2 linked regions of the Lonchura striata genome follow. The protein of the gene in region 2 purifies or fractionates together with the protein of the main gene of each other region. This does not show direct contact. Links are inferred from orthologs where the notes say so. Each region holds a gene or a part of one and is shown on either strand. Other genes may lie near its edges. The genes, in order: protein FRA10AC1 homolog and ESS2.

Region 1 (14,977 bases), on a different chromosome or scaffold from region 2:
AGTATATTTAAGGACAGTGTAATGAAAACTTGACAGAATGTTTTATGAAATGCTACAGGAAATGTTTTTCATTCAAATCTCACTTCACATCCTGACCCTTATCTTCCATGTGGTTTTGCTTCCATTCAAGAAAGGCAGTCATCTAGATACCTAACTGTTAACATTTTGACTTACACTTGAAAACTGAATGTGGTTTCAGCAAGTAGCAGGATCTTCCCCAGGGTACAAGCTGGAGTATTTCTTTTTACTTGCAGTAGATGACTTTCCTCAGTGTTTTTTTGAGTCTGAAATTTTTACTTCTAGAGTTGTGGATATTGCCCAGCTCAGTGTTGCTGGCTATAAATACCATAACTTGATATTTGTAACTAAGTTAGACTAATGGTTGCCATTTACGATATTTATCTTCCCCATTCCACTTAGATGCCATGGAATGAATAGTGTCCTGGAAATACTTTCAATAGAAAGGTTGATAGTATTTCAGTACTTCATGTCTTAATGATATTGGTGATTACATAGCATTAAACTGTATTTAATTTGAAATATAATCCCTGTTATTTCCAAACCCTGAAGATCAGTAGTATACTTTTACTAATAAAAGCTCACTTCTAGCAGAATGGCTATGGTATTATTAATTAAATTACGTCTCACAGCAGTACTGTATAAGCATGCTCATTAAAAACTGTGAAATAGGAACTTTTAACTGATTCATCCTACTTCAGTGCTCAGAACAGCTTTTTTATATCCTGTATCCTTCAGTTTTCACTGAAGGATCAGTTACTGATCACCTCAACTGGGTACTAACAGCCTCAACATTCAGCTACTGTACTACTTTACTCTGTAATCCCACTGAAATAGGAAGATAAAGTGAGGGTCAATTCTGTTATCATTACATTATTATTGTGCTCTTATACCTTAGTTTTTTAAAATCTGACTGTGAGATTCCAAACAACTGACTGCAGCACTGTATATTGCAAATAAGCTCTGATTTTTTTTCATTGCTTAAGGACAACCAGTGGAAAACACTGTGATGAACTCATCTTACCAGCTCCACAGTACAGTTTCATGACTGGCTTTCTGGATTCCTGAGTTGAGAGCTCAACTTCTAAGTAAAGATGAAACATTTCTCTAAAATTAACAGGTATTTTCTGAACATGTTTGCAGGAATGAGACTGTACATCTCTATTAGCATTACATCTTTGACTTCAAGGCACCTTTCTTTTCCAGGTTACATAGAATGCTGGGTGCACAAATAGTGCTTAACTGCTTGCATGATTCAGATGACAGTGACTTGTCTGTCACCTTTTTATATAGAAGATTCCAGATTCCAAATATTCCTTGTCAATGATTTGTACCTTTCCTCAATTCTCATAAGCGAATATGATGAATATATATACATGGTAGACATTATGCACAGAAATGCATCTCGGGAAAAGAGGGAACATGTATCTTTTTCACTATGGTTTAAAAATGCAATGGACTTTAACTTTGCTCATGTATTCTTCTTTTCCCCTTCTAAAAAATTTAGTGGGAAACAATGTACTTTAAAGAAAATAAGTCATTGCTTGTCAGTTGTTTTCTTATTTATTTCCACATTACTAGATTTTCATTCTCTTATTATTTTTTATGATTTTTTCATCTTAATATAATAACTCTGATATCAAACTGGAAAAACAAATTTGCCTTTCTATTTATGTAATTGAATGCCATCAGTCACTTTCCACCAAAGCAGATCTAGTCATAAAAGTAAGATTAGGCATTCTTTGCTCTCTTAGGAAATAGTTCATACTTCAGGGAATTTAAGCATAATGAACTTCTAAAATCTCCTCAAATGAAAACAGGAACATGGTGGAGGAGTCAGTTTCTGTATTCCACTTACTTAAGTGAAGGTTGATAAAACTAAGAAGTAGTATTTTGTACATACTGATAATTACTTTAAATTAAATTCCTGATAGGCTGAAGTCGCTACTCAAGTTTATGCATGCTTATATGCATGTAGTGAGCTTTGTTCTGAGCAGAGTTGCCAGACTAAGCTGTGGAGACAAAATTCACCTGCCACAAAACAAATGTGGAACTAGCACTGATGATTAAAGACACTAGACAAGAGCCTACATAATATCTTTAGGAGATTTATTTAGTAAAATTCTGTACATTTTGCAAAAATAAGCCTAAACTTTAAAGATAATTCTGGGAGTTGAATCTAAGAATTACTGTTTTATTAAAGTCTGATTTATTATTTCCATAATTGAATCAGTTAGTTTTTACATTATCATAATGCTATTATTTACACTATACATCTTATCAAGGACTTGCAGGAAACTTTATTTTAATGAAGTTTTTTGAAGTACACAGAAATTTTAGGAACAAGGTTGATGCTTTGAGCGTTCCCTTAATTACAACATAATTAATTAATTAAGCAATCTGATTTTCAAGATAATATTATAAGATTCTTACATAACTCTGTAGTCACAGGCAATAAAACTAAAACAGATATTAGGAATTTAAACAGTTATAGTTCCTTTATAATGTATCTGTGATTCTTTAGAATGGAAGATTCTTTAGAGTGGAAGTAATGCTACCATCAAATAAACTGTGGCTCAGGATTTCAACTACTTCAGTCCATGATAATGGAGACTAAGGCTGCTCTTCTGTCAACAGTAATAAAAAAACATCTTGTGAATTGTGTATGAAGTTGAGAGGCCTTATATGCATCATAGGAGGTGGAGCTAAGGGAATAAATCAGGTTATTTAGGCTGTATTTTCTAACATTTTGGCCTAAACTGGGATTCTGTTTACCAATTTGATCAGCTGAGAATAGGGATGCAATTTTCACATTTTTGACTTCTTGGGAGAAGAAAATTCAACAGGAACCTTCAACTTTGTTTTTAATAAGAGCCTTTGATATTTGTTTTTATCCTAACAGCAGAACAAGCTTGATCTGAATTCAGGATGTGCACTGTTGTCTTCTTCAGCTTTCCATGACTGTTTATGAAACAAATTTCCAAACTTCAGTGTCAACATAAGTGCTCTGTAGACAGACAGTAGAACCAGCACCTTCAGTGCACAAGGCAGTAAGTGGTTGTGGAGACTGGCAGTGATTTGTTCACCCTAGAGAAGCCAGGAATAACAAAGGTCCATGGGTCAAATTCTATCTCGTATATCCTTCTAAAATGCCATCATCTGTTGGATCTACCTTTAGATATGCACATTTTCAAAATTTCTGTTTTCCAAATTGCTAATCATATTGGAAGTCTTCATGTTCTATAAAATTTGTCTCCACACAATGTATGTGACATTGATATCCAATGGTGTTAAACAGAAACAATTAAGTGGAAAATGTTCACAGATAACTGGAATTTAGGAAATTCAATACTCTTATAATAGGATTAGCTATTGTATTATTAGCTCTATTTTATCCTCTTAACAGGTGAAATGTAATACAATGATTGTGGCTACTTTTACAAAGGTCTGGGATTTTAGAACAAGGAAGGAAACTGATGATCAATCAGATACCATTTTTTCAAAGGCACTTTTCTAACAATGCTTATGCACTGAAATGCTAATTGCAACTTCAAAATATCATAAAACTGCACATCTTCTCTTCAAATGATGGACAAAGCATGGGCTTGTCTATGATTATTTTTTGTAACTGACCCTATATTGGAAATGTCTTTAAATACAGTTCCTTTCTTGAGAAAATTACTTTATCAGCCAAACAAATAAAACTGCATTTGCCTTTTAGCACACCAACATTGACACCTAGTGGCTAGTTAAGATCCATGTTTAATATTTCCTGTATGACAAAAAAATGTGGAACACACCATTTATTGATTTTGACAAACCAGGTATGCACTGCCTGCTATCTCCACATAGCCTCTAGATTATTAAAGAATATAATTAATGACTAGTTTGGAGTTATCAGTACCTGTGATGGGAACTGATGAGTGTGAGGCCCTGCCCCTCATGTACAGCCCCACTGGTTTTCCCAGACTGTCAGGAAGTCTTAAGCTTGGGAATCAGCTGCCTGATTTTAGTGTATACCTTCCACAGGGCTCGTTGGGAGGCACAGTACATCCCTGAAATTGTAAACTGGTACAGCTATATGAAAAAGAGCTACAGTTACTGAATGTGATGTTACTGGCATATGTGAATGTCCATTTTTAGCTTTACTTGTTTTTTCTACAAATTACTAGGGGGTTTCAAATAGGAGGAGATAAAAATCAGGAACATGACAGATGCCAAAGTACTGTTTGTACAATGAAGACACAAAAATAAATTATTTGGCAACTTACTTCATAGACATGTAGGACATAGGAAGGTGGCAGTATCAAAAGAACTGACTTAATGGAGAAAGAGAAAAGATTAAACAGGACAAATACAAGTTTTACTAGCATTCTTGATGGTTCCACATTACTGTCTCATAATCAAACTCAAATGTAGTCTGCAGCAACAGCTCACAATGGTAGTAGTTGTCAGTGACTGCCCTGCCCTTGCTCTCCATACCAGTGGTAGCTGCCTCTTCGAGCCTGCTGGCAAAACCTTCTGATTTGCTTCATTAAAAATTGGAACAATTTTTTAATTGGCTAACCAAACTAATTTTGATTCAACAGATCAGAGGCTGTTGAGTTTAAACAACTTTACCAGAAGATCTTAGGAGGCAATCACCTTATGCAGAAAGGCGGATGTGTTTCTTCCTGGCTAAATATTGTTAAGGAGTAAACACCTACTGTTTGTATTTCTTAAAAATACATAGAGAAATCTAAGCCTGAAAAAGAGGAACAAAATATAAGAGTTCTCCAATATGTAACCTATATAGAAAGGTTGAAGTACCTTCTCAGGCTGCAAAAAGGGAAAACTGTGGGGATATATGTCTTCCAGGATTTAAATGATGATCACTTCTTGCTTTCTGTACAAACTAGTGCAGGACACTAAGAAATTAACTCGAGTAGCAACAAATAAGATTTTTTCTTAGATAGTAAGAAAAACTCCTTATACCTAAGAGGTTAATAGATTAAGGTGTTAAGCTGTGAAAGCTCCTATACTAGAACCTTTTAGGAACAGCTCAATACATATGTCAGGTATACTTTGAATTCTGCATCTCTATGATGTATGAACCATGTCTGACTTAAACCTTTTGGATACACCAGGTCTCATATTTTATTTAGCTCATTCTAGATTTAGGGCAGAATGGAAGTTAAAGCTACAGTGGTATTTTCTCCTTTGTGGACCACAAAGTTTAGGGCTACTGTAATTTAAGACTATTGTTTCACATTACTGCTGACCTGATCTAAGAGAGCTGCTGCTGAAAGGGCAGCCCCTGTTTCTCACTCCCCACTTCCCTCCTGTCCCATCCCACACATTTTATTTGCCCCACCAGGGTTGCTCATCCAGATAGCACATCAGGACAGTCAAAGAACCTAGAGTGGCAGAAAATTAAATTCTGCAGTTCAGCAGGAGTGGTCAGATGAGCATCAGGGCGAGTTCAAGAAGAATGCTCTCTTCAGTAGCAGCCTGACTTGTAAAGATTAGCATAGATTGACTTCCTGTAAAGGAAAGCTGTGCTCCTAAGGTTTGGTTGTACAGCCATCAAAATCCCACTTAAAACCTCCTGCCCTGTAAAGAGTTATGCCTATCTCGTCTGTTCTTTTTCCTGTATCTTCCAGTCCTGTGGGACTCATACGACAGCAGTGCCTTTTTGGTGTCAAAACATACTGTTGCTAGAATTAAACCACGGAGATACTCCTATTGGAGCAACGTATAATGCATATACCAATGGCTAAGGGCATATTCAGTTTCAACTTCCAGTTTATTTAGGAGGCCATTTCTGAACCCATTCCCCAGCTGTAACTTACTGTAGCCACATATAAAATGCAGTCAGGTGATGTTCTAAAGCAACACAGACATCAGAAAAGCATAGCATAGCAAGATGAAATTATCTAGCTGCTATTCTCAGAAAAGCTGTTTATAACATAACTTCAGCATCTACAGCAGCTGCTATAGCTGGACTCACTGCAGAATTTTCCTGTCCCAGAAACTGTATTTTTTCTATATGCAGGCTTTGTGGCCACAGCACAATGCCAAGAGATTTCAGAATTATAAATCTTTCCTCTACCTTTCCCACTCTTCTTCAAAGTGCATAATCAATGATATGTTGGCCCAGTTTCCAGAATCATGTCAAAATTCATTCACACTAAAGCAGTCTGTCATTTCCATAAGACAGGAACAACAAAAAGATGCTTGCTATTACAGCTTTGAGGGTATACATTATTTATTTTGATAGATTTAAATTATTAATTAGGATAATTCCATTTTTGCAACAGAGTCTCTGCCCTTTAGAGGAAATGGGCCACATTCAGTAGGACTTCAGCAGAATACTGCATACACTCAAATATGTACAGTGCCACTCAGTTCCTTTCCGTGGGACACTTTAGCATCATCTTTGCATACGTTCACAGCAATAATGACATAACAAGTAACACAAACACTAGGTCAGGAGAAAAAAAAATCTGAAAACAGAGATTTACTAGCCAAGGTAAGGTGATACACTGTCAGCTATGGTGTGTGATTGTCTTACTGCAGAAAAGCAGCTAGCTACAAATTACATTTTACAATTTGCACATTACAAGGGGAGCAGAAATATTTGAATTTTTAATAATTCCCTGTATTAAGTGTGTCTGTGGTTTAACTATCCAGGAATCAGTAACACAACTGGAAACACAGTCCAGAAGAAAGTACCTGTGATGAACTACAGCATTTCAGACCTCAGCAGTTCAGGTTGTCTTTGATGGGAAACTATCAATTCATTGACAGCTAATTGTTGTATCTATCTGATGACTTAATGCCGAAGATCGGTGCTTCCCAGCTATTTTATAGCAAATATTTCTGGCTTATAAAACTCCTTTTTATGATGCAACCCACAAGCTCCCAACTCTTATCGCCCAGTTGCCGTCGGTCCTCACAGGGAAACTGAGTCACACACTGCCTTTCGTTCTTCTAACTGCGAGATGCGACTGAAAAGAAGAGAAGCCGCTGGCACGGGCAGAAATCGGTGCTACAGATCGCCGTGCCGAGGCCACGGTCGCGGTCTGCGCCGCGCCGAGGGCAGCGCGCACGTCCCGGGCGCGCCTGGCAGCTGCTGCGCCCGCAGAGCGCCTGCCGCGGCCTCCCGCCCGCAGCGGTCCCCGAACAGCGACCCCCGCCTCCCGATCCCCCCCAGGGAGCCTTTCCGCCGAGCCCCGGCACCGCAGCGGGGTCTACGCCCGTGCCCCCTCCGCAGGGACTGCCTGCCCGAGAGCGCCGCGGACGGGGCAGGGGCGACCCGGGCCGGGGAGAGGGGCGCACTCGGGCCTCTCTGAGCCCCTGCGGCGGAGTCCTACCTTCCCAGAGGCGGAGACCGCGGCAGCCGGGGCCGCTGACCGGGTTCCCGGGCAGGGAGACTCCCCTCGCCCCTAAACATGATCAGCGGCTTTCCCCTCCCCTCCCCTCCCGCGCCGGCTCGCCCTCCCCCGCGCCCCGCGGCCCCGCGCCGCCCGCCCGCGGCGGAGGGAGGGCGGAGGGAGGCAGGGAGCCCGCGGCGCGGCCCTGCTCCGCCTCTGCCCGGCGGCCCGGCAGCGGCCCGCACTGCCGCGCCGGGGCCGGGCGGCCGAGGCGGCCCTGCCGCGGCCATGGAGCCCGACCAGCTGCGCCTTTCCGCCGTGAGTGGAGCTGGGAGGGAGGGAGGGAAGGGCGCCCGGCGGAGGCGGGCGGGGACAGGCCTGGTGGAGGCCGCGGCCGCCATGGCCGGGGGCCAGGGCGAGGAGAGGCGCCCGGCCGTGCCCGTGGGGAAAGGGCCGAGCCGCCCTCCCCGGGCGGCGGACGGGCAGCCGGGGGTCGTGCCTGTGCCCCGCTGCGGCGGCGGAGGAAGGGCCAGGCGGGCCGGGACAGCGCCGGGCCACTGCCGGACAGCGAGCGAGCAAGAACGGCTGCGGAAGCTGCGTCCGACTGGCCGGTGCTCGTTTCTCCGTGGGCCTCCACAGAGCTCTAATCCTCGATGTCGTCGTCTGCTGTTACCTACCTTTTACTCCTACTTTTAATTTCATAGCTGTAATAAAGGGGCAGTATCTTGCGAGTGTCTTTTCTCTTTGTTAGGGCCGCTCGCTGTACAGTATATGCAGGCACTCCTTGTAATAGGTCTTACAAGGAAGAATCGATTTGGAGCTAGTTGCTTATTCTCGGTTTTTTTTCCCCAAGTAGGGGTGGCAGACCTTCACAGACAACATCAAGGTGGGAAAAGCATGTTGCAGTGAATCATTCTGACTTTCCACACAGCATCATTTATCCATCAAGGATGGCTCCTCAAATTCTCTTACAGATCCTGTGCTTCCTTCATACCCTCCCCAAATAGTTTGCACTGTAACGAGCACTCGGGTTTGTTCTGGGTCACATCTGGGCCGTGAGCAGACACACTCACAGACCTGCGTGCTGGGCAGATAAAGGGAAGGATGGCTTGTGAGGGCCGTGACAAGACTGGGCCCGAGGTCAGGAGCCACAAGTTGGGAGTATTTTACAGAATTGTTTTGCCTTTTTTTCTTGTTCTGTTGTTTCATGTTCAGTCACGTTGTGGTTAGGAGTGGACACATTTCACCAGTGTGTGTTTACTCCATTGGAGAGGCTTAAAGGAGGTGCCTTCTCTGGATCCAAGTACCTGCTGTAAATGCAGTGCTGGGTAGTTTGTGGTGTCCTGGATTGACATCAAGAGTTGGTATCTCAGTCTGACATCAGTTGTGTACAACGTTCATGCATTTACTGTGTTTTGCGTGGGTTTTAGGAGCCAAGAGTTTAGTGGACTCTGTTCTGTCTCCAGTTGTTTCATCATTAAATAATCCAAGATATTTGGATTACTTAAGTGTGAGCTAAATATACCCCAAAGCATATTTGTGCTTGTTTTAATTTTGTGGTTTCAGTTTATTTTATTGTTTGGGAATAAAAAATTCAAAGTTGGAGCAACAGCAAAATACACTGTGTCATTTAGCTTTCAGGTTTGTGTTTTGAGAAAAGACTTGGTATTTGTATTAGTAATTAACTAGAAGCATTCTGAGTCTGACAAATTCCATCAAACCAAAGTTTATATTGAAGGGTTTATTAAATAGTGAAAGTAGTTATTTTAAGTTTTGTTGCTGATTATGCACATCCATGTCTATATCTGATAGGTTAGGCCTACAGTTAAACATATTTTTCGTATCTGGGGTTGTAGGTGTCGGTTTGCATTGTCCTTCCAAAATGGCAAGGTTCATTTATAGATGAGGTTCTTTGGAGATGGAAGTCCATGAAATGAAGTACGTATGTTTTACCAAGAGTCAGGTCATCTTGGAATCATCCTAAGGTGTCAGGTTAGAAACCATTCAGTCCCAGTGTCTGTGAGTGTTGTCCAGCACTGCTGGAGCTGCTGCTGTCAGGCCCAGCACCAATGCAGGACCTGTCTGTCCTGCTATTGCCTCAACAGAGGAGTGATCCACAAGTGTCAGGACAGCAGTCATGGGCTGGGTCCTTTTTCACTCTGAATTTATCTGTGCGGTATTACAGTGATTCAAAGGAATGTCTGAAGCTGTGAAGAGCTTTCCTGTTGGAAAAGCAGCCTAGTCCTTAGCCATACCTGCCCTTATATTGACAGTCAGCTTTTCAAAAGGCAGTCATCAACATCTGAAAACCCTACAATATGACTGTGTTGGAGTAGTTTTTCTTGCATCTTTTTTTCTTTTATTTGAATCATTCCTGGGCTCACTTGAGAGCTGGTTAGTGAGGATGTCTGTTTCTTTCCTGGGGTATATAATCCAAACGCAACTGCTTTGTGAGAATCCCCTTTCATTTGAGCTTTCTTGCCTGGTTCAGTACTTCATCTGCCTAGGGCTTTCATGCTCATGGTGTTGGCTGGGACTTCCCTTTTGAGTGTGAAGAAAGCTCTGGATGTTCATTTGGGAAGCATTACTAATGCCATTTAAAACATTCCCAGATTAGCATGATATTTTTTAAACTTAGAGGCCAAGTATAAATATATTTGCTGCATACTCATAGAGTGTTCAGACTTTAGTTCTAAAGACCTTACAAGCTTCATTAACAGAAGTAGTGACAAGCTAGCTATACTAGAACCACCTATCTATGAGATTACATTGTTGTTGCTTTTTTGCCCGTGTATGAGGATGGTTTACAGCAGACATCTGCTGCACTTATTTGGTTTGGGGTTTTGTTTGGGGGAGTTGTTTGCCTTTTCGGTATGTTTCTGTTTTGTTTGTAATGGACAATTTTTATGTCTCGTGGGAAATAGAAAATAGTTCAGAAAAAGTTCTGATTTGCTTTTGTTGAAATATATATGTGTAGTAGAGTTATGTGTTATTCAGAAGCATCCAGAAGAGTGGGAGGAACATTATGATATTTGTTTATTATTATTAATAATAATAATTGTAAAGGCTTTTAAAAAACTTAAAAAGAGTCCTTCATTGTCAGTTTGAAAAAATAGTTTTACTTACTGTGCACAGTACAAACCAGTTGTAGGTGTCAGTAGAGGATACAGCTGACTCTTCAGCATAGCATTTCTGCAAGTCATTTGCATCAAGAGAAGGCACCTCATCAAAATCATCCTGTGGAGTTGTGTCTTTTTTTCAGATTTTGTTTTTCTCAGCTTTTTGGCTGAGGAGGAGTATAACTGTAGGCAATGTAAGAATCAGCTGAATCGAGTGCGCTTGCTTTCTAACCCATTGACTTCTCTTATCCACAGTTTGACTTACCAAGACACTTTGGGAGCGTGTGTGGAACCTTCCCACGTGCAGCTCTATTAATAACCATCCCTCTTGTTTTTACCTCAGTTGTGTAAAAGCTTGTTTGGAGTTGGTGCTGGTTTATGTGGTGGCCAGCTCTGGCTGCTCTCTCCGTGTGCTGTCCCTTCAGCTGGCTGGTGTAGGTTGTGGAGGCTCAGATGAACTGTAAGGAAACTTATCTGGGTTAAATAATATTTTTTTTTGCATAGGTTCCTTTGTAACTGAGTTGTTTGGTCTGGTTCATGTGTACTTTCACAACTGTAACTGAGCACCTGGTAGGAAGGGTACTGAGAGTAGGAGTGCGGGAGAGGAGATGGGACCTACTTAAGCTGTTGCATCACCTGAAGGAATTGAACATGGAACTGTGCCTTGAGAAATGGAAGTGATACATCGGGACTTGATCATTTGAAAGCGTTATAATATGGATATTTTGGTTTTCTTATATGCCTTAATTTAACATTGTAGTTCCAAAATGTGTGGAACAGAAGGTTTCATTTTCTGGTAGGAATGTTGTGCTGATGAGGTGATACACTTTTGCAGGCATTTTTTTTTTTGTATTTTATTTATTGTTTCAATCAGATTTCCAGCTACCAGTATAAGATCTAATGATATAAAATGCTGCCCAAGAAACTTTTATTCCCATTTTCCTTCATTTATAATGTGGACATATCACTTGCTGTCCTCCAGCCCCCAGGGAAGATATTCACCTTTGTCTTACATAAGGAATGTTGTTTAGAAAATAAAAAGCTAAGGTATTTATCATATTTTTAGTTTGCTGCATCTATGTGAAGATTAAATATGCATATAAATTATTTCTAAAGTGATCTATTTTACAAAGTGATCTTTCTTGGCCCTGTATTATCTGGAATATACTCTGCATTGTCTGTGGAATTTTGTTTGGTTCACACATGTGAGAATGTGCACTAGTTCACTTGCTCTCTGTCTTTCTGTCTTTATTTATGCTGATGGGCACTACTGATTTGTAATTATGCCATATCCATATTACATTAGCAGATATATTGACTGGTCTATTATTTTCAGGCACATGGCCATGGAGGCTATGATTCTGATTTTAGTGATGAGGAGAGTGGAGAGAAGTCTCTGCAAAAGACTAAAAGGTAATGTAGTACAGAATTAACACTTTACATTATGTATTTTGTACAAATGGCCTCTTAGTGTGCATAGAAGATGATGCTGTTGCATGTAAGTTCTGGTGTTGAAATGGTTTTTAAAAAATCAATCACTTTGATTTCTGCATCTCCTCATCTCAAGTTTGCCAAAGCTTGTCATCTCCAGAGGCTGCTGATTAAGAGCTGTTCTGCCAACTCCATCTGGTGTATATTTGCCCCTCAGTTCTTGGAGCAGAGTGTTTTGTTTTTCCAAGCATTAGTATCCACTGCTGGGTTTTGGCAGTGCTGTTCACACCACTGCGATCCATCAGGACAAATGGAACTGCTAGGAGAGCAAGGCAAAAAAGGCCAAGTGTAGCAGGCTTTGTAGATATAAAACACATAGAGATATAAAGTGAAGAACTTATGCTACTTCTTTATTATTTAATTTGTGAAGAGACCTGGGTATTGGTAAATTGTGTTGTGATCAATCCTTGAAACGTACCTGCACATCTCTTATTTGAGATTATGACCTTGGCCAGTACTTTCAGTGGTTTGCAGTTAGTGACCTGGAATTTTGTAATCTGATGTGACTACATTGTAAAGATTTTTATTTGTTTTTGTATTTATTTTGCTTTTGTACTGTAGTTCCTTGACACTTTCTGCACCATACTGAATATTTGGCCAACATTTTGCATATACTTTTCTTAACTTTTTTTCTGTCTCTCCCTTGCTTTTTTATTGGACTTTATTTAAGAAGACTTTCTGGAAACTTTCCTAAGATTCTTGCATATTTTTCCTTTATAGAAGAATTGAAAGAATGGATTTTGTAGTGTCTGATTGCATTCTGGGAGAAAAAAAAATAATGTTTTAATCTTTGGAATAATAGCATGCATTAAGACATTTCATTTATTTTATAAATATAGCTGTTTTCCATTAAAATAGGGACTGATTTTATTCAGATCTCATTTTCTTTAGATGCCATTGCATATTCCACCATTCCACTTTGAGGTGCAATATTAAGTAACCATCAGGAGTCTTTCAAAAATACCATCATTATCCTTGTTCTGGCACATAACTGTTGATTCCCAGTAGGGCTCTTATGTGGGTTCCTTTTCTTGCTCTGTCATTGTATTTATTTTCACTTTAAGGAAAATAATAGTCTTAAATTCTCTCCAAATTACTTTTTTATAGACCCTTCTTATGGGAATTTTGTGTTTACAAATCCTTTTGAGTAAATGATACTTTAAATTTCTAGAGTCCTATATTCCATAGCTAGAAACAAATTTCCTGGCTTGCTTTCTTCAGGTTTCTGATTGCCATGCTTTCTGCCTGCTGAAAATTATGGGAAAAAATCTTTTTTTGCACCTCAGTTTATGAATGAAATTAAATAAATATACATTTTACTAGCTAAAATGTATATCTTTAACTTTTTATTACTTTGTTGAACTCTAAAAGTAATTTTAGCTGCCTACTGACAAGTACAGTTCATTACATGGTAATTGACTTCTAAATTTGTGATTCTTGTGATTGCACTACAAGAGGCAGAGCTGTTTAATGAGGTGTTGAGACATTGGCATGAAAGGGTGGAATAGGGTTACTGCCAGTCACTCTCTTTCAGTGAATGCACTGTCTTTCCTGTTCCTACTTTCCTGCGTAGCTGAGATTTGTAAAAGACTTTAAACGTCAGAGTGAAACTAAGGAATCTTCCAGGTTTTATAATTGTGGTTCTATAGTGATAATATTAATAAAAACAAATATTGCAAATTGCTGTTTCAAGCAATCGCCTTTAAATGCCAACTGGAAGCAAATGCCTTTCTGATTTTGTTCTGCAAATGAAGTAAAGCCCAAGCTGATGTTGGTTCTGAAGTTTCATTTTATTCTTGTAGGAAATAGCAATATAACTATTTTTGTTACTCAAGATAGTGCAAGGTTTAGCATATGAAAATTTTATTGCTTATGAAAAGTTTTTGAATAACTTTTCTTCCTTTTCCCCCCCTTTAGAATACAGGAAGATGCCCTTCTGATAAAGCCATTCCAAAAAGCAAAACAAGGCAGTGTGGTTCACAGACAATTTGCAGCTGAAGAATGTGATAGGTATCTTTTATATATTGCTTTTGTGAGACATTTTCCTCTTAATGGAAAGATAGTTTTCACTGGAGCGTGTTTGTTATTAACAGGGAAGAAGCAAGAAAAAGAAGATTTCATTTGATATCGATGGATGCTGTATCCTTCTGTTTGATTTTTCAAGTTTGAAGATGTGACACAGGTTATCCATTATGGTAAAATACTGGGATTTCTCAGTTATCACAGTCGGTGACTGTGCAGCACCAGATACTGAGTCACTCTTCAGAGGAGCTTCTTTGTGCTGTTGAGATAAAAGTTTTGAAAATCTTTCAAGAAGCCATATATAAAGTTTTTATTTTTGTAGACACTTATTTTCTGAATAAGTAATTACACATTTTGCTCAAATTGTGGTATAAAATGTGTTTCAAAGTTTCTGTTTTGGCCTCACACTGAGGCCAAAGTGTTCTAAGAAGCATTACATATTTTTCCATTGTTTTAATTTCCAAACTAAAGCATACAACTTTTATTTGTATGTTGGTGGTAAAAATGTAACAAATTATTCCATTTTAGTAGCCAGACTGTTTTTATAATAGAAAAGTACAAACCTGTTTTAAACCAAAACTGCAGTACAAAGAAGCTGTTACCTAAATCACAGCTGAAAAAATGAACCATGTTTCTGTGTATGTGCATACAGAGCATCTTTGATAAAGGAAGACAGTTTTATAAATGAGGAATGAAGTTTTAAAAATGAAATTGCCTAGAATTCCTGTATCTGGAAATTAGCTTCTATGAGAGATTATTATGTAAAAGTTCCTAATTAATTCCATTCTTTTTTTTTTTTTTTTTTTTTTTTTTTTTCTTAAATTACTGAACTGTTTGTGAGGAGAAAAGTCTCTCAAATATAGAAAAAGATTTTGGTTGGGTTTTTTTTTTTTTTTTTTTTTTTTTAAACTGTGGTAAAAGGAAATAAGTTCTGAAACAATCCTTAATTGCTTTATTCAGTATGAAAGACAT
Region 2 (14,911 bases):
TGCCTCTGCCTCCCCCAGCGCCTGCAGACCCTCGCTCAGCACCCGCGTCAGCTGGAGAGCCTCCTCCAGGTGCTTCTCTTTGCATCTCTTGGCAGTACTCCTAAGCAGGACAAGGGTAGGGGTGAGGATACCTTGGCCCGGTGAAGTTTGTAGCGGGGGAGTACCGCGACTCAGTGGGATCTGGGACCGGGGTGCCCCAGCGTGCGGTGTCCCCTCTGCCAGCCGCACTCAGCATTTCGCTGGAGGACGGAGGGACGGCGGCGGGGGAGGGGAGCTACACGAAATCGTCAAAGCTCAGCGCATTGCAAACCCTCGCTGGGCAGAAGGGCACGAAAACCCTCAGCACTGCAGCCCTGGAAGGGAACGTGGGGCTCGGACCCCTCGCTGGGAATCGACCGCCCCTCGCTCCCTCCCTCCTGCCCTCCCGGCCCGCGGGACGCACGGCCGCGGCGCACCGGGGGCGTCGCGACGCAGCCGCCGCCGGGCACAGCGGGAGCTGCCTGCCCGGGGCCGCGCTCTTACCCCGCGAAGTGCCGCAGGCAGCGCAGGCAGGAGAGCACGGCGGGGGCGAGGCCCCGAGCGCCGTAGAAGGCGGCGCAGGCCCGCGCCTCCCGCTCGGCGCCCATGGCGGCCGGCCACAGCGCGGGCCCGCTGCGGCGCTCGGCGGCGCCCCCTGGCGCTGGCCCGTAACAGCACCGCCCGCGGCGCCGCCCGGGACCCGCGGTGCGTCCGTCCTTCCTTCCCTCACCCGCCCGGGACCCGCGGTGCTTCCTTCCCTCACCCTGCCGGGACCCGCGGTGCGTCCGTCAGTCCTTCCCTCACCCTGCCGGGACCCGCGGTCCTTCCTTCCCTCACCCGCCCGGGACCCGCGGTGCGTCCGTCCGTCCTTCCCTCACCCTGCCGGGACCCGCGGTGCGTCCTTCCCTCACCCGCCCGGGACCCGCGGTGCGTCCGTCCGTCCTTCCCTCACCCGCCCGGGACCCACGGTCCTTCCTTCCCTCACCCGCCCGGGACCCGCGGTGCGTCCGTCCGTCCTTCCCTCACCCTGCCGGGACCCGCGGTCCTTCCTTCCCTCACCCGCCCGGGACCCGCGGTCCTTCCTTCCCTCACCCGCCCGGGACCCGCGGTCCTTCCTTCCTTCCTTCCTTCCCTCACCGTGCCGGGACCCTTGCCGGCTGCAAGGCAGGAGTTAAAGAGCATCATCATCCCGAGCCGTTTCCGTAGTCGGGGAAAAGCGAGATAACCCAGAACCTCCGAAAACCGTGTGCTGCCTGCCGAGCACAGAGGGATTTGGATAGCATGAGGCGGTGTAAGATCTCTGAAATGCCCACTGGAATGCTTCAGCGTGAAGCATTTGTCTGATTCCATCGTGGTTCCTTGCAGAAGAGGAGGTTTGGTACCCCACGGTCCTGCTCCACCACGGACACCATCTCTGACAGCCAGCACCACTATTGGTAGCATCCCTACTAGAAATATCACTAATAACACTACTACCCAGTGGAGAGATTCCACTTCTTCCTGTGGAATGAAATGGCCTTTGAGGAGAGAGACAGGTTTATTGTAATTATCATCTAATCAAATGAGTTTATTAGAATTCTTAATCTTAGTTGGTGCAGGGTTGAACAATTTTAATTGGCACAATTTTAAGATCATCTTTAAATGCCTCCTTCAATCCAAACCACCCAATGATTTTATGACTTCTGTTTTTTTATTAAACATAGTTTTAACACCTGACTAGCACATCGCACTGAATTTCAGCTACACAGAAAATGCTTCTTGTTTGTGATCTTGAAGGATTATTTTTACCCTGGGTTCTTTCTCACAGTGGTTACGGAGTGAGTGATGGGCATCTGCTGCTTGGATGATCACAGGCAGCCCAGGAAAACACAGCTGGCATGCACCAGTGGCTCCACTGGGTGGCCAGGAGGACATTGAGGTGTGGGTCCTGGGCTGAGCACTTCCCTTGGGGATGGAAAGCCCCCAGATTGTACTTTTTTGCAACACTTGTCAGCAGCCTCCATCTCTGTTCTGCTTTAGGAATCAGCCTGGAAGCCCAAATCCAGCCAGGGGTCCAGGTTTGCCCTGACTGCTGTCAATATCAATGAGTGAAAGAGTGCAAGATTTGTTCCAGGTAAGGCAGAGGAGTGCAGGAGCATGGTTACATCCTTCAGATCTGATCCTCCTTTTCCTCAGCATCACAGCCACCCCACACTGGTGATAGCGAGTGGGGAGAAGCACTGCCAAACGAGAGCTCCCACAGGTACCAGCACACAGGCAGGGGCAGGGCAGAGGAGGGTGCTGCCACACTGTAGGGTTTCCAGTGTTCCCATCACCTTGTGCTGCCTGCAGAAGGGAGGGGCAGAGGAGGGAAAGGGGGATTTTTTCTTGTTTCACCATAGGAAGGATTTTCAAACCCTATAAATTCACTTTTGACAAGTGAACAGCTAAAGCAGATTAACCTTTTTGCTAATCCTCTATAATGGCTTTGGAATCTCCTTAACCAATAAGAAAATTATAAGAACCTGTTTCTTTTCTTTTTATCTATATCTATATTGTCCTCTCTTGTCTGCATGTTTTTTCTTTCTTGTTTTATTTTCCTTTCCTTTTCTAATATGAAATAGCCCAGCGATCCTATCTCCCAGAGGCTCAGTAAACAGTACATCAGAAATCCCTTTCCTTTATTCCTCTCTGGTAACAGGGTGCAGAGAAGTGTCTGCCGATTGGGATTTGATTACCAGCAGCTATCAAAAGTCTCTTTGTACAATCTGGGTCCTAAATCCCATAATTCTTTGATAAAAGAAGTATTACCAGTCCATTTTCTGTAGTGAAAGGTATGGGAGGAATGAAAGAAAGCAATCAGTGGAGATCCTAATAGGCTAAGTGCATGTGTGGTGGGAAGGCAGGGCTGGGACAGGATGCCCAGGGAAAGGCATCCTTTGTTAAGGATGGGGAAGGAGAATTAATCCTCTTCAGGCATATGAACAGAGCTGGTCAGATCCTCCACCTGCCCTATGGCCCCTCTGGACCAGCACAGAGTGGGGAGCAGAACCTGGCCCCACATCCACTCCTTGTGCCAGCGTTTGGGTACATGCATAAAAACTGGGAGCTTTTGTGATCTCTGGAATTAGGGCATCCCCAGTGCCTCTCTGGAGCACTGACACCTTGGCAGGGCAGCAGTGAACGTGTCCAGACCGAACAGCCACAAAGGTGTCTTCATCTCAAAAGGTAAAGATTCGCAGAGCTCAGTTATAATCCAAGTTACACCACTGGAACAGCTGAAGCAGAGGCAAATAAAGGGATGGAAGGAAAAGCAGCAGTTTGGTTTTAGGTGAGTCACAAGTAGAACAGCTATGGACGTCTCTTCCCAGCACTAAGGGACCCGCAGGTGAGGAAGGGCAGGCAGTGAGCAGGGATGAGAAGAGAAAAGGGAGCTGAGAGAGGCTCTCCTGGGGACTGGCTGTAAGTTTTACAGGATGCTGGGGACATTGCTGGGCTGTCCAGCATGAGGATCTTTGGTGTGCAGTGGTTTCACAGCACCACCCGTGTGTCTCCTTGGTGTACCATGGGTGGGACTGCAAGGAAACACCAGGTGTGAGTGCTCCCCATCTGAGCTCCTGAGGCCTTGCTTCTCGCCTTGGCTTAACCACACTGAGAGAAAGGGAACTTGGGTTTAAACTTTGCTAAGCAACCTTATCTTAACCACACCTTCTCTATTTTATTCCCAGCTATTCATGTCAGTTAAAAACACAGGGTCCAATATGTTCTCTCCTCCTGTGGATTGCAGCTTCCAGACCTTGCTGTTTGCCCAGGGGAGGGGGCAAAGCCAGGCCTCCCTTCCTGTCCTGAATCTTGGCCATGGCCTCTCCCCAGTTTCTTTGGCTGGGCAGGAGCCAGGAATTGAACGGACTTTGGGAAAGCCTGGCTGTGGCACTGAATCCACACTCGTGCCTGGATGGCTGTGGGACCTCACTGAGAGCACACAGAGGCAGCAGCAGCAACAATCCCCCCCTTCCCTTCCCCACACAGAGCATGGCTCAGCTGCATGGGAGGCGGTTACATGCCACTAAGCTGCTGTGCAGAGCTGCTGCAAGCAGCTCGTAATCTAATTTATTAAGGTCTTTGAATCCTTACAAAGAGTATGTTGGATACATGCAAAGCATCTGCATTATTACAATGATTAGGGCAGCAGACATGGGGGAAAGGGGAAGGAGGGAAAATACGATTTCTCTGCTTTCAGCAGAAAATGAATCGACTTTCACAGAGAATTCTGGCAAAGCCAAAGGCTGTGTTGTCATTAAAAATGATTTTTTATTAAGCTGAACTCTCTCTTCTCTCATATTGTATGATATGACAGCTCTCTTTTGATGGGAAAGCTTTCATTTGGCCAGAGAAAGGGATAATTTGCTTCTTTTAAGGAGTTAATCCTCTGGTCCATTTCCGGGCTGGGAACAGCTATCCTCCCCCTTCCTTGGATAGGAGGCTGCTGCACAATGGAGATCATAACCACCTCAAATCTACACCCGAGATGGAGAAATCAGATTTCCTTCTCCAGTCATTTTTATGGGATTAGCTAAATCTTAGATCCACACTAACCCTTCACAAAGCTGCCAAGATTAGTTAGAATTTATTTTATTTGCAGGGGGGTTTTACGGTTTTCTTTCCAAAGGGATTATATCTCTCTCTATATATATATATTTAGAGTGGCTTCAGTCATAACACAGCTAGGTCAGAGGGAGGAAAAGAGTGTGTGTGTATAAAATAAAAACTCAGCTGTAAGCATGACAGCCACTTGAAATGCCAAGACAAAGCTGTGGTTCTGGATGGCTTTGCCAGTCCATTTTAAAAGCCACATGAGCTGTCCTTTCCCTAGCAAAACCCCACTAGGGAGCCAGTGAAGGGAGAGCACAGCCCCCAGCTGGGCTGCCTGCTTCCCCAGCCGCTGCTGGCACAGGATGTCTTCAGAGCCAGCGCCAGGGGCTGACGCCGGCAGGAGAGGCCTGAAGAAGCCACGTCCGTTCAGCATCGAGGACATCCTCTCCAGCCCCGTGGAGAAGAGCCCCCAGGTCTTGGTGCCGCTGTGCCTACGGAGCATCTTGGACTGCACACCCAAGCGGCTCTGCGAGCTGGAGACCATCCCAGCCAGCTCCCTGCAGGAGGAAGAGGAGGAGGAAGAGGAGGAAGAGCTGGAAGGGGCAGGCTGCAGCTGCTGCTGCTGTTCTCACACGAGTGCCCGTTCCCAGCAGGACCTGCCAGCTTGGCTGGGTGAGTGTTGGGTTTGGTTCAGGTGTGGGGCTTGCAGAGGGGCTGGTGCCAGTGCTGTGGGCAGGGGAAAACCTGGGTGTTAAGTGGCAATATGGCATCTGGCCACAGCGGTCTTGGGCCTGAGGCCCAGCAATCTGAGCTGTTCTCAGCAGGGCTCCTAAGAGTGCTGCTAGCATTTGAAAAGAAGAGGGTGCCGATTATTACTGGATATTTCTGGTTAGTGTGAAACTCTTGAGAGAATGATACTTCGAGGGGTTCAAGCTCTTTGTGGAGAGTGGAGCCCCATGTGCAGAGCTGTGCCTGTGCTTCCTGACAACACCAGCCCTGGGGAACCTCACTTACCCTTTAAGGAAAAGGGTTTTGGCTATGTCAAGCAAAATTACTGTGGAAAATAAAAAGTAGCAAACCCTTAAAAATGCAGTTCAAGAGCATCCTGAAGGTTCAGAATTCCCTTGTGTCAGGGCTGAAACACAGATCTTTGCCGGGCTGTGAGTTTGCAGTTATTTTCTGGATCTGACCATAGTGCAACTGGTAAGTGAACAAAGAAAACCCAGCCAGTGCTCACCACCTGCATCCTTCTCCATGTCATGCCCCAAACTCTTCTCCCACGTGCATGGTGACCACTCAGCTTGCCACCCACTCCAGGTGACTGGCTGCCTCCTTCCAATCTGTAGCAGGGATGCAACAGGTGCCTGAGCTGCCTTGAGCGTGGCGAGTGTTTGAGCCCCACACCTCTAACACTGCTGTCCCTGTCCCCTCGCAGATGCCCGCTTCCCCTGGCCCCTGCGGCTCTTCCACCCGGCAGTCAGGGTCTGTAGGAGCTCCCAGGAGAAGCCAAGGGAGCTGCAGACCTTCCAGCAGATCCAGCGCCGCACGCGCCGGCACCGCACCATATTCACCGAGGAGCAGCTGCAGGCTCTGGAGACACTTTTCCACCAGAACCAGTACCCAGACGTGGTCACCCGCGAGCACCTGGCAAACCGCATCCACCTGAAGGAGGAGCGGGTGGAGGTGAGGTTCTGCCACTTGCTGAGGGCAGGATTCTTGTGTTCCTGCAGTCCCCAGGAACACAGACTGGGGCATTGTGCTGTCTTTTTTTGGGGGCCTGCACACTTATGGTCTCATTTTAAAATCCATCTTGTGCATTTGACAAAAGAGAGTTTAAGTCTGGTGAGCAATGGATGAATATAAACCATTTCAGCTGGGCTAATTTGTACTGGCATCCAGTCCCACAGACTCACATGATGCCTCTCTCCCAGAATCACCTGTCACACAGAGACATGCCCAGCTCTGCTGCTCATCCCCTGCACCCAAGTCTGTATTCCTTACATAAGTGACCTGCGTGACTTCTGAATTTGTCATGGGGGGTCCCAACTCCTTTGTGCCCCTCACACATACCCAAGAAAGATTGCAGCAGAGGGACTGATTACATTTTGTATCAAGCCTTTCTATTACAGTACCTCACAGCCCCGGAGGGCCACTGCCTGTCCCCCTCCCAGTAACACCTGACATGCAAAAGCCCTTTTCTTGTTTTGCACTTTCTAGGTTTGGTTTAAAAATCGTCGGGCGAAGTGGCGGCATCAGAAGAGGGCGACTGCCTCTGCACTGACCCTCCAGCCCAAGCAGCCCCCCAAGGAGAGCTGTTAGTGCTCACAGGCTGCAGAGAACACCAAGAGCACCACTGCCGTAGCTGACAGGCTCAGGGGGGTAACCCGAGGGGGCTAATGCAGCAAAAAGGGAACCTCTGTGGTTCACACAGGAGGAGGACGGGTAAAAGCACACTTTTTGGCACTTTCACATGCCTCTTCCAAACCTAGTTCACGTGGCAAATAACTCAGCAGGCAGGATGTGCAGGGGACAGAGCTGTACTAGTGTTAGATGTGTGTGCTTTAAGAGAAGGAGAAACTCCCCTTCGTGTCTTTACTCTGTGCACGTAGTATTTGTGCTTGTTTTATTGATGTAGATTTGCAAAATATCCTGCAAATGAATGTGTCCTGTTTGCAGCACCTCAGTGGCATCTAGAGTTGCTTTTGGGGTTGAACTTGCTGGACAAGCGATTTGTTTCATAACAAAGAAACACGGGTTTCTTCCCATAGCCTGGGGAGAGGTGATGAACGTGCTGTGCTGAGAGGACTGGCACAGGCAGCCTTCGCCTTCAGCCCTGCTGCCAGCCAGTCCCTGTCACAGCGAGCCGTGTCCGTGTTCCTGGCGGGGCCAAGGAGAGGCCAGGAGCTGGAAAGCGGCGGGATCAATAAAAGTGCCCTGCCACCCCGCCCAGCAGCCAGCCGGGGTCCGCTCCGCGGGCCCGGGGGGTTTCTGAGCAGGTCTGAAGAGACCGTGGGGGCGTTGAGGGGATCCGCCCGGCGCCCTTCCCTTGTCTTAACCCGGTTCTCATCCCGTGTGTATCCCCGTTGCCAACTCAGCTCCCATCCCCTGTGTATCCCGGCTCCCATCCCGTGTGTATCCCGGTTCCTATCCGGCTCCCACCCCGGTTCCCATCCTGTGTGCATCCCGGCTCCCATCCCGGTTCCCATTCCCGTGTGCATCCCGGCTCCCACCCCGGCTCCCATCCCGGTTCCCATTCCCGTGTGCATCCCGGCTCCCATCCCGGTTCCCATTCCCGTGTGCATCCCGGTTCCCATCCCGGTTCCCATTCCCGTGTGCATCCCGGCTCCCACCCCGGCTCCCATCCCGGTTCCCATTCCCGTGTGTATACCGGCTCCCACCCCGGTTCCCATCCCGGTTCCCATTCCCGTGTGTATCCCGGTTCCCATTCCCGTGTGCATCCCGGCTCCCATCCCGGTTCCCATTCCCGTGTGCATCCCGGCTCCCACCCCGGCTCCCATCCCGGTTCCCATCCCGTGTGTATCCCGGTTCCTATCCCAGCTCCCACCCCGGTTCCCATCCCGGTTCCCATTCCCGTGTGTATCCCGGCTCCCAGCCCGGCTCCCATCCCGCCGCAGTCCCGCCCGGGACCGGCCGGGTCCTCCGCAGCGGCAGGGGGCGCGCGCGGCCCCGCCGCTGCCGGAGGGGCGCGCACTGCGGTGCCGCGGCGCGGAGCTGTGACGTCACGGCCGGGCGCGGTCCCGGCGGCGGTTCCGACGCCATGGAGGCGATACCGGTGCCCCCGGCCTCTCCCGCCGCTCTGGTGCCGGCTCCCGCCGCGGGCCCCGTCGCCGTGACGGGGAAGGAAGTGGTGTCGCCAGCTGCGCGGCACTCGAAGAAGATCCTGGATGAGGAGGCCTATATCGAGGTAAGACGGCGGCCCGGGACCGAGCCCGGGAGGCTCCGCTCCGCCGGTGCTTGTGCCGAGCGCTGCAACCGCAGCTGCGGGTGGAAATAGCGCCGGGGCCGCCCCTCGGGCTGCCGGCCTGGGGCCCGGGGCCGCCCCTCGGGCTGCCGTCCTGGGGCCTGGGGCCGCCCCTCGGGCTGCCGGCCTGGGGCCCGGGGCCGCCCGTGGCTTTGCGCTGCTGGCCCCGAGCTGAGCCGGTGCTCCAGGTGTCCCAGCGGGGCATTGCAGTTGTCTCTGTCTCTGCAGAGCTTAGAGAAGATCATCCAGCGAGACTTTTTTCCCGATGTGGAGAAGTTGCGAGCACAGAAGGACTATCTGGAGGCTGAGGAAAATGGTGACTTGGAGAAAATGAGACAAATTGCTATCAAGTTTGGCTCTTCATTGAACAAATCGTCGAGGGACACACCTGCACCCTGTAAGAACTGGCTCTGTGGGGCATCAGGGGTGTGTATCTGATATTGCTGCTCTATCTAACTTCGTGCGGACAATGCTTATCTTAAAGATTCAATGTTGATATTGCATGAGAGCTGAGTGTGCCGGTTTGGGCAGTGTCTGGTGGCTCATGCTGAATTTCTCTTTGATGGTGTCTAATAATTCTTTGAGGGAATGGTTTTGGGAAAAACAGCCATTTAAAAAGCATTCCTCATAGGCATCTTTTGCCAAGTTCCTGCGCTCTAGGTTATGTGCTCTCTACTATGAGAAACCCTAAGCTATGTTTTGAATCCTTATTTTAGTTTGTAGTTTTAGGGGCTCTTGTTGCATCTACAGATATTTGAGATTCTCATGTATCAGGGACAGAAGAAGCTCGTGGTTATCAGAGGTTCCCACAGCAGGTATCCAGTGTTCTGTTTTATGTTTTCTTTCACTTTCAGTTTAGGTGTTTCCTAAAGCCCAGCCCCTGGCTGAGCTCTTGCAGTGGGGTTTGAGTAAGGGGCTTTCTTGTGGCAAAGGGCATCACCAGGTGGTGTCCCTTCCTTCCCTGCTGCAGGTGCTGGCCCTGGCCTGGGCTCAGTTTGATCTGCTGCTGCTTTTGTTGGCAAAAGCAGGGTGTAGGGTGACTACACCCTGGGCTGTGGCTCTCCTAGGAATTTCTCCCAGCAGGAGAAAAATGTCTTAGATGAGGCCAAAATCTTGTTTAGAGGTTGAGACAGAATTCAGTAGAACATTTTGGAGCTCTTTTCACAAGTTTTTAATTTAATTTTTGTTCTCTTGATATGCCTTCTGTGACTTACTTGGTACAGCATCCTTAGAGGAAATCCTGTTGTGTGCTCCAGTAACCAGGTGATTTTTTTTTTTTTTTTTTGATGGCAGATGTTACCCCAGCCACATTTGAAACCCCAGAAGTGCATCTAGGTGGCCTTCCAGTGGGAAATAAATCTAAGACTGGTATCAAGACTGCAGAGGAAGGTAGGAAAATTATGTTTCTCCAGCTGAATTCTTCCAAAATTAAGTTGTCTGCCAGCAGCTGGCCATTTGTACATTTCACCTTTAAAATAAATTGCTATAAACACCATGAAAGGGTTTATTGGAAGCTGGTTATATGTGTTCCAAGCCTGATTTATTCCTGCACCACTCTGTGGAGCTGTGTCTTTGGCCAAGCTTGATGGCATTCCTGGTGTGTCTGTGGAAGGCTTGCTGCCAGCAGGGTTAGGAGGTGGATACAGTGCTCCCCTGGAAAGGGAGGCATTAACCTTCCTCAGGCTTCTTCCCTTCTCTTGTTAGGAGAAGCAGAAAAAGATGATAAAGATGCTCTTCCCAGCCTGGACACCTTCTTGGCAAAGCACACGAGTGAGGATAATGCTTCCTTTGAGCAGATCATGGAAGTGGCCAAGGAGAAGGAGAAGGTCAAGCACGCCTGGCTGTACAGCGCGGAGGAGGAGTACACCCGGGTAGGGAATTGCCTCAGCTCTGTCTCTGCTCTTCCAAGGGACACAGCAGGGAAATGCATTTCACTGGCTTTCTGCTAAGGCCCAGCTTCCTGCATCCCATGACTGCTCTTTGCTTCCCTGTGCAGTCCTGCTTTTTCCCCTTCTGTCACACAAGAACAGTGCTTAATTACTGAGGCTTAGTCTCTTCTGAAAGCTTTGAGGCTGCAAAGCACTGCACAGAGTGTAAGTATTGCTGTCCTTGGCAGCCTGTTCTGTCAGCAGCATCACAGTTCCTGCTGTTTGTCCGTCAGCCCCTTATTATTTGCAGTTTGTCTGTCTTATTTCAGTTTTCAGCTTCTGTTATCAGTAATAACCCACACAGCTGCTGAAGCACAGAACTGCAAGAGCACGGCTGGCTGTGCTGCCTTCCTCAGCTACCTGCAGGGGAGGTCCAAGTGCTGTTCTGGGCCTGCTTTTTCAGTCTTTAACCATCAGCAGTGAGCAGCTGGGACATTGATGGCTGTGGGATGCAGTGCCTTTTCATGAAGTTTGGCACTGACATGTGGGTGTTTGCTGCTGTTGTTTTGAGGGAGTGTTATTTTTTTTTATCCCAATTGTCCCTCAGACTGTTACATACCTTATGCAAGGTGTCCTAGGGCAGGTGGCTGAGCTTTTGACTGAGCTCTCCAAGTTGTGTCTGCCTGAATAAAAGATTGCAGGAGGCTGCTTCAGAATTTTTTTTTTTTCACCTTTTAAAACTTTTTTTTTTTCCATCACCCTTTCAGCGACAAAATGAAAACCTGGCACTTCCTTCAGCCGAGCAGCAGGCTCTGGAGAATGTGAAAGCTGGGCTGGATACCTGGGAATACACAGCTCGGAACACCCTCATGTATTATCCTACAGGTGAGGCATTGGTTCCAGGTGGGTTGGCTCCAAACAGTGCTTAAAGCATTTCTGTACATGACTGAGCAGCACTTACAGGTCATGCTGTGCTTTTTCTTCTGTAAACTTTTTTTTAAACAATGTCTTTTTTTCCCTGTTTTTCTTGGCCTCTGATTCCAAAGTTTGATCATGTTCTATTTGCCATTGAAAAGCTCATCTGTATTACAGAAATACCTGTTTTCAGCAGCCAAAGCTCTTTCCTGGTCTGTCTTCTTTATGATCACTTGTTGTCATCTTCATTTGTTTGCTTCTGCTCAAAGAATTCTCTTTGGACTTGTCAGTCTGTTTGTTCCTATAGAAAAATATATATTTTTGTAAAAGTAGTTTTCTTTTTTGGCTGTAAATGTACAATTGATAACTTCTGTGAAGCAGTGAAGTAAAGAGCTCTTTTTTAAAAGTCACTTTGCTTTTCAAGGTGTACCTGATGATAGTGAAGTTTTTAAGAAGCCCAGGGAAGTTGTGCATCGAAACACCCGTTTTGTGAAGGACCCTTTTAGCCAAGCTGTGAGCAAATCACAGCTCCAACAAGCTGCAGCCCTCAATGCTCAGGTTGGATAATTTTACTTCTGACTCAAATCGTGTGGTTCATCCCCCAGAACTGTGTGTGTGTGCTGGATGCAGCTGACTCTCACCTTTCTCCACATTGTCTTTTGTATTTCAGTACAAACAGGGCAAAGTGGGACCCGATGGGAAAGAACTGATACCCCAAGAGTCTCCAAAAGTGAATGGGTATGGATTTGTGGCTACCCCGTCTCCTGCCCCAGGTAAGAGGATTTTCTTATTTCTTCTGCTTTAAGAGGACTATTACTGCACTTTCTTTGATGCTGTCTTCAACACTAGGGTGTCATTACAGGGTTAGATGAGGAGGTGAAACCTCGTGCTGTGTATGCCAGCAGGATGCAGGGCTTAAATCCTAGTCCAATACACTGGTAGGAGAAGTTACCCTGCATCAAGAGACTCTGAAGTTGCTGTGCTATTGCTCAGGAATCATCTAGCTGTGGGCTACTTTCAGTTGGAACAAACTGAACATTTTAATTCGAGTTGAAACATATACTGAATTTGTACCTGTTCTGCACCTGCCCGTTGTTTCTCTGTGCTTTTTGTGGTTACCTCAACGCCTGAACATGCTGGGGCTTTCCCTCTGGGAAACCTGTAGGTGGCGTTTGGAGCACCTCCTTTCTCCATCGTAAATGCCTTTTCCAAGCCCTGGACAGCAGGATTTTCCAGCCAGAGACTTAATCGGGCTCTTAGGATCCTTTCTACACCTGTAAGAAAAGGTGCAGTCACTGTTTGGTACAGGCTGCCCCCTGAGGTGATTGGAGTGTACATTTGGCTATTACATGTCCTTAAATCTTCTGCCTGTTTTCTTACTTTTAAAGAGTTTCCTATGTTCAAGGAATTTTTATTTAGCAGCAGAGGGGACAACTAGTACTGTAGAGGGAAAAATGAAAGTATAACTAATCAAAAGCTTAGCAAATGGAAAAATGAAGACATGGAAAGGGTGGTGCTTGGTTGTTGTAACTGGGAGGGTGACACAGCTACAGGCAATCCCTTTTAATGGGAACCACATGTTCCCACTGGCTGTGATCTGTGATTTCCTCTGCAGTGTAGGGGCTCCTTTGTTGATTAATTTGCTGCATTTCTTAATTTGCTTCTCTCTCCCTTCTTTTTTTTTGTGATGAATGAATAACAAACGTCTTGCATGGGCATAACTTGCTGAATTTGTTTTCAGGTGTCAGTGAGTCACCTTTTATGACATGGGGTGAAATTGAAAGCACCCCTTTGCGTCTGGAAGGGTCAGAAAGACCATATGTGGACAGAACACCTGGCCCAGCTTTCAAGGTATTTCATGTTAGCACAACATTCTTTTCTGGGGGGGAAGAACTAAGAAGGGAAAGGCAAGTGAGTAAGGAATAGATTAACATGGAGTGTGACACATCTCTGGGTGGTGTTCCCTGTCCTTGAAACTAATAATCTAGCTTGTGCTTGGAGGGTGGAGGTGAGCATGGATCCACATGAAATCTTCTTGGTGGAGCTACCTGAGGTTGGAACACAGGTAGGAACTGCTGGCAGGACAATGAGATTCTGCATTTGGTGGTGGGCCCAGACAGAAGGGCTTTCAGAGGAAACTGAAGAGATGCTCAATTTTTCTGATTTTAATGTGTGAATAGGTGGAAATTTTAGCATTTCCCTCTGTCTTTATCTTCTGGCTGTTGCAGCCTGAGGCAGATGTATCAGTTGAGAGTAGAAAAGACACTCTGGTTTTGCTAATGGCACCTAACCCTGCATGCTACTTGTCTCCTGCTGGTATCTTTGAATGTGAGATGTCTGAGACTCTTAGTTTAAGAAAGGTGTAATTTGCTGTATGTGCCTCTGTTTTGTTAGACTCCAAAGGCCTTGACTGGTTCTCCTGCTGTTTAAGAATGTCTCTGTATGCCTGAGAGCAGGCTGGCTACAGGCCAGGCAAGACACAGGTGACATTGTTTGTCTAGGAGAAACAGCAGGAGGAAATGCCAGAGGTAATGGCTGCTTCCTTGACCGGACTCGTTTTACAATTTTTGTTACTTGCTAAGGCAGGTTGAAGGTCTCTGTGTCCTCTCTGGCCTTTATGCAGCAGCAAAGAGGTGTGGGCTGACCCCACTTGTCCCTGTACATTGGAATCCAGCTGTGAAGGTGCTTTGACTCATTTTTCATCACTCTTGAGTGCCTTGGCAAGTGAACTGTGTGATGCATTTATAGATCCTGGAGCCCGGACGCCGTGAGAGGTTAGGACTCAAGATGGCCAATGAAGTAGCAGCTAAAAACCGAGCAAAGAAGCAGGAGGCACTTCGAAAAGTGACAGAAAACCTGGCCAGGTGAGACTTTTGTTTTGACAGCAGACCTGGGGGTGGCTATTATCTGATGAGATGTAAATCAGCACCTGTAGAAAGGGAGGAATGATGGTAAGGAAGGATACTGGAATCAGGAAGAGGTGCATTTGGACTGAAAGTTACTAAAATTTAAAAATTTAGAAATTAAAAAAACTTAATTCCTGAGGGAAAGTGGCTGGTGGACGTCCCTGACACTCTTTGTCAGCATTACTGCTCTGCCCTACAGCCACCCAGCGATGCCTCTGGATCAGTGCCTTGCCTTATTGCAAAGAAGAGACATGATAAGAGTTGCCTGGGGGGTCACAGGAAGGACAGAATGGGCTCAAAGGAAAAGTCAGGCCATGCCACTCAGGTTTGGGAAGGATGCAGGAGGTTTTTTTGTCACTTGTTTCTCTAGAGAGACAGGCTGCATTTACCTGCAGGCAGAATGACTTCTGCAGGCAGTGGGTCTTCTCTGTGGGGGGAAGTCACGTAGGAAGGCAGTATTACTTTTCCTAATAAAGGCAGATTTTTTTACTGTAAAATCTCTTAAAGCTTTTTATTCTGTTTCAGCCTTACTCCAAAAGGACTAAGCCCAGCAATGTCACCAGCTTTGCAAAGACTTGTAAACAGGACTGCAAGTAAATACACCGACAAAGCCCTGCGAGCCAGCTACACTCCCTCCCCAGCCCACACAG

What was found.
Region 1: the proteins of ESS2 (region 2) and protein FRA10AC1 homolog purify together in Homo sapiens (co-immunoprecipitation; 3 studies listed by BioGRID and IntAct, counting the BioPlex papers as one, with this or other methods). This does not show direct contact. The link is inferred for Lonchura striata from reciprocal best matches to the Homo sapiens genes ESS2 and FRA10AC1.

What each region holds. Positions count from the first base shown.
Region 1 is NC_134609.1:16,815,024-16,830,000, forward strand, and holds the start of protein FRA10AC1 homolog, read left to right. Parts: upstream 1-7,566; 5' UTR 7,567-7,661; coding exon 7,662-7,691; intron 7,692-8,050; exon of another isoform or gene 8,051-8,108; intron 8,109-11,828; coding exon 11,829-11,905; intron 11,906-13,900; coding exon 13,901-13,993; intron 13,994-14,076; coding exon 14,077-14,122; intron 14,123-14,965; coding exon 14,966-14,977. UniProt on the Homo sapiens protein: May be involved in pre-mRNA splicing.
Region 2 is NC_134620.1:6,788,988-6,803,898, reverse strand, and holds the start of ESS2 (splicing factor ESS-2 homolog), read left to right. Parts: upstream 1-8,327; 5' UTR 8,328-8,368; coding exon 8,369-8,515; intron 8,516-8,800; coding exon 8,801-8,969; intron 8,970-9,865; coding exon 9,866-9,961; intron 9,962-10,276; coding exon 10,277-10,443; intron 10,444-11,207; coding exon 11,208-11,325; intron 11,326-11,779; coding exon 11,780-11,913; intron 11,914-12,025; coding exon 12,026-12,128; intron 12,129-13,096; coding exon 13,097-13,206; intron 13,207-14,103; coding exon 14,104-14,219; intron 14,220-14,786; coding exon 14,787-14,911. Other genes in the region: tRNA (32-2'-O)-methyltransferase regulator THADA, read right to left, coding at 1-100, 523-626; GSC2 (homeobox protein goosecoid-2), read left to right, coding at 4,953-5,262, 6,026-6,273, 6,808-6,909. UniProt on the Homo sapiens protein: May be involved in pre-mRNA splicing.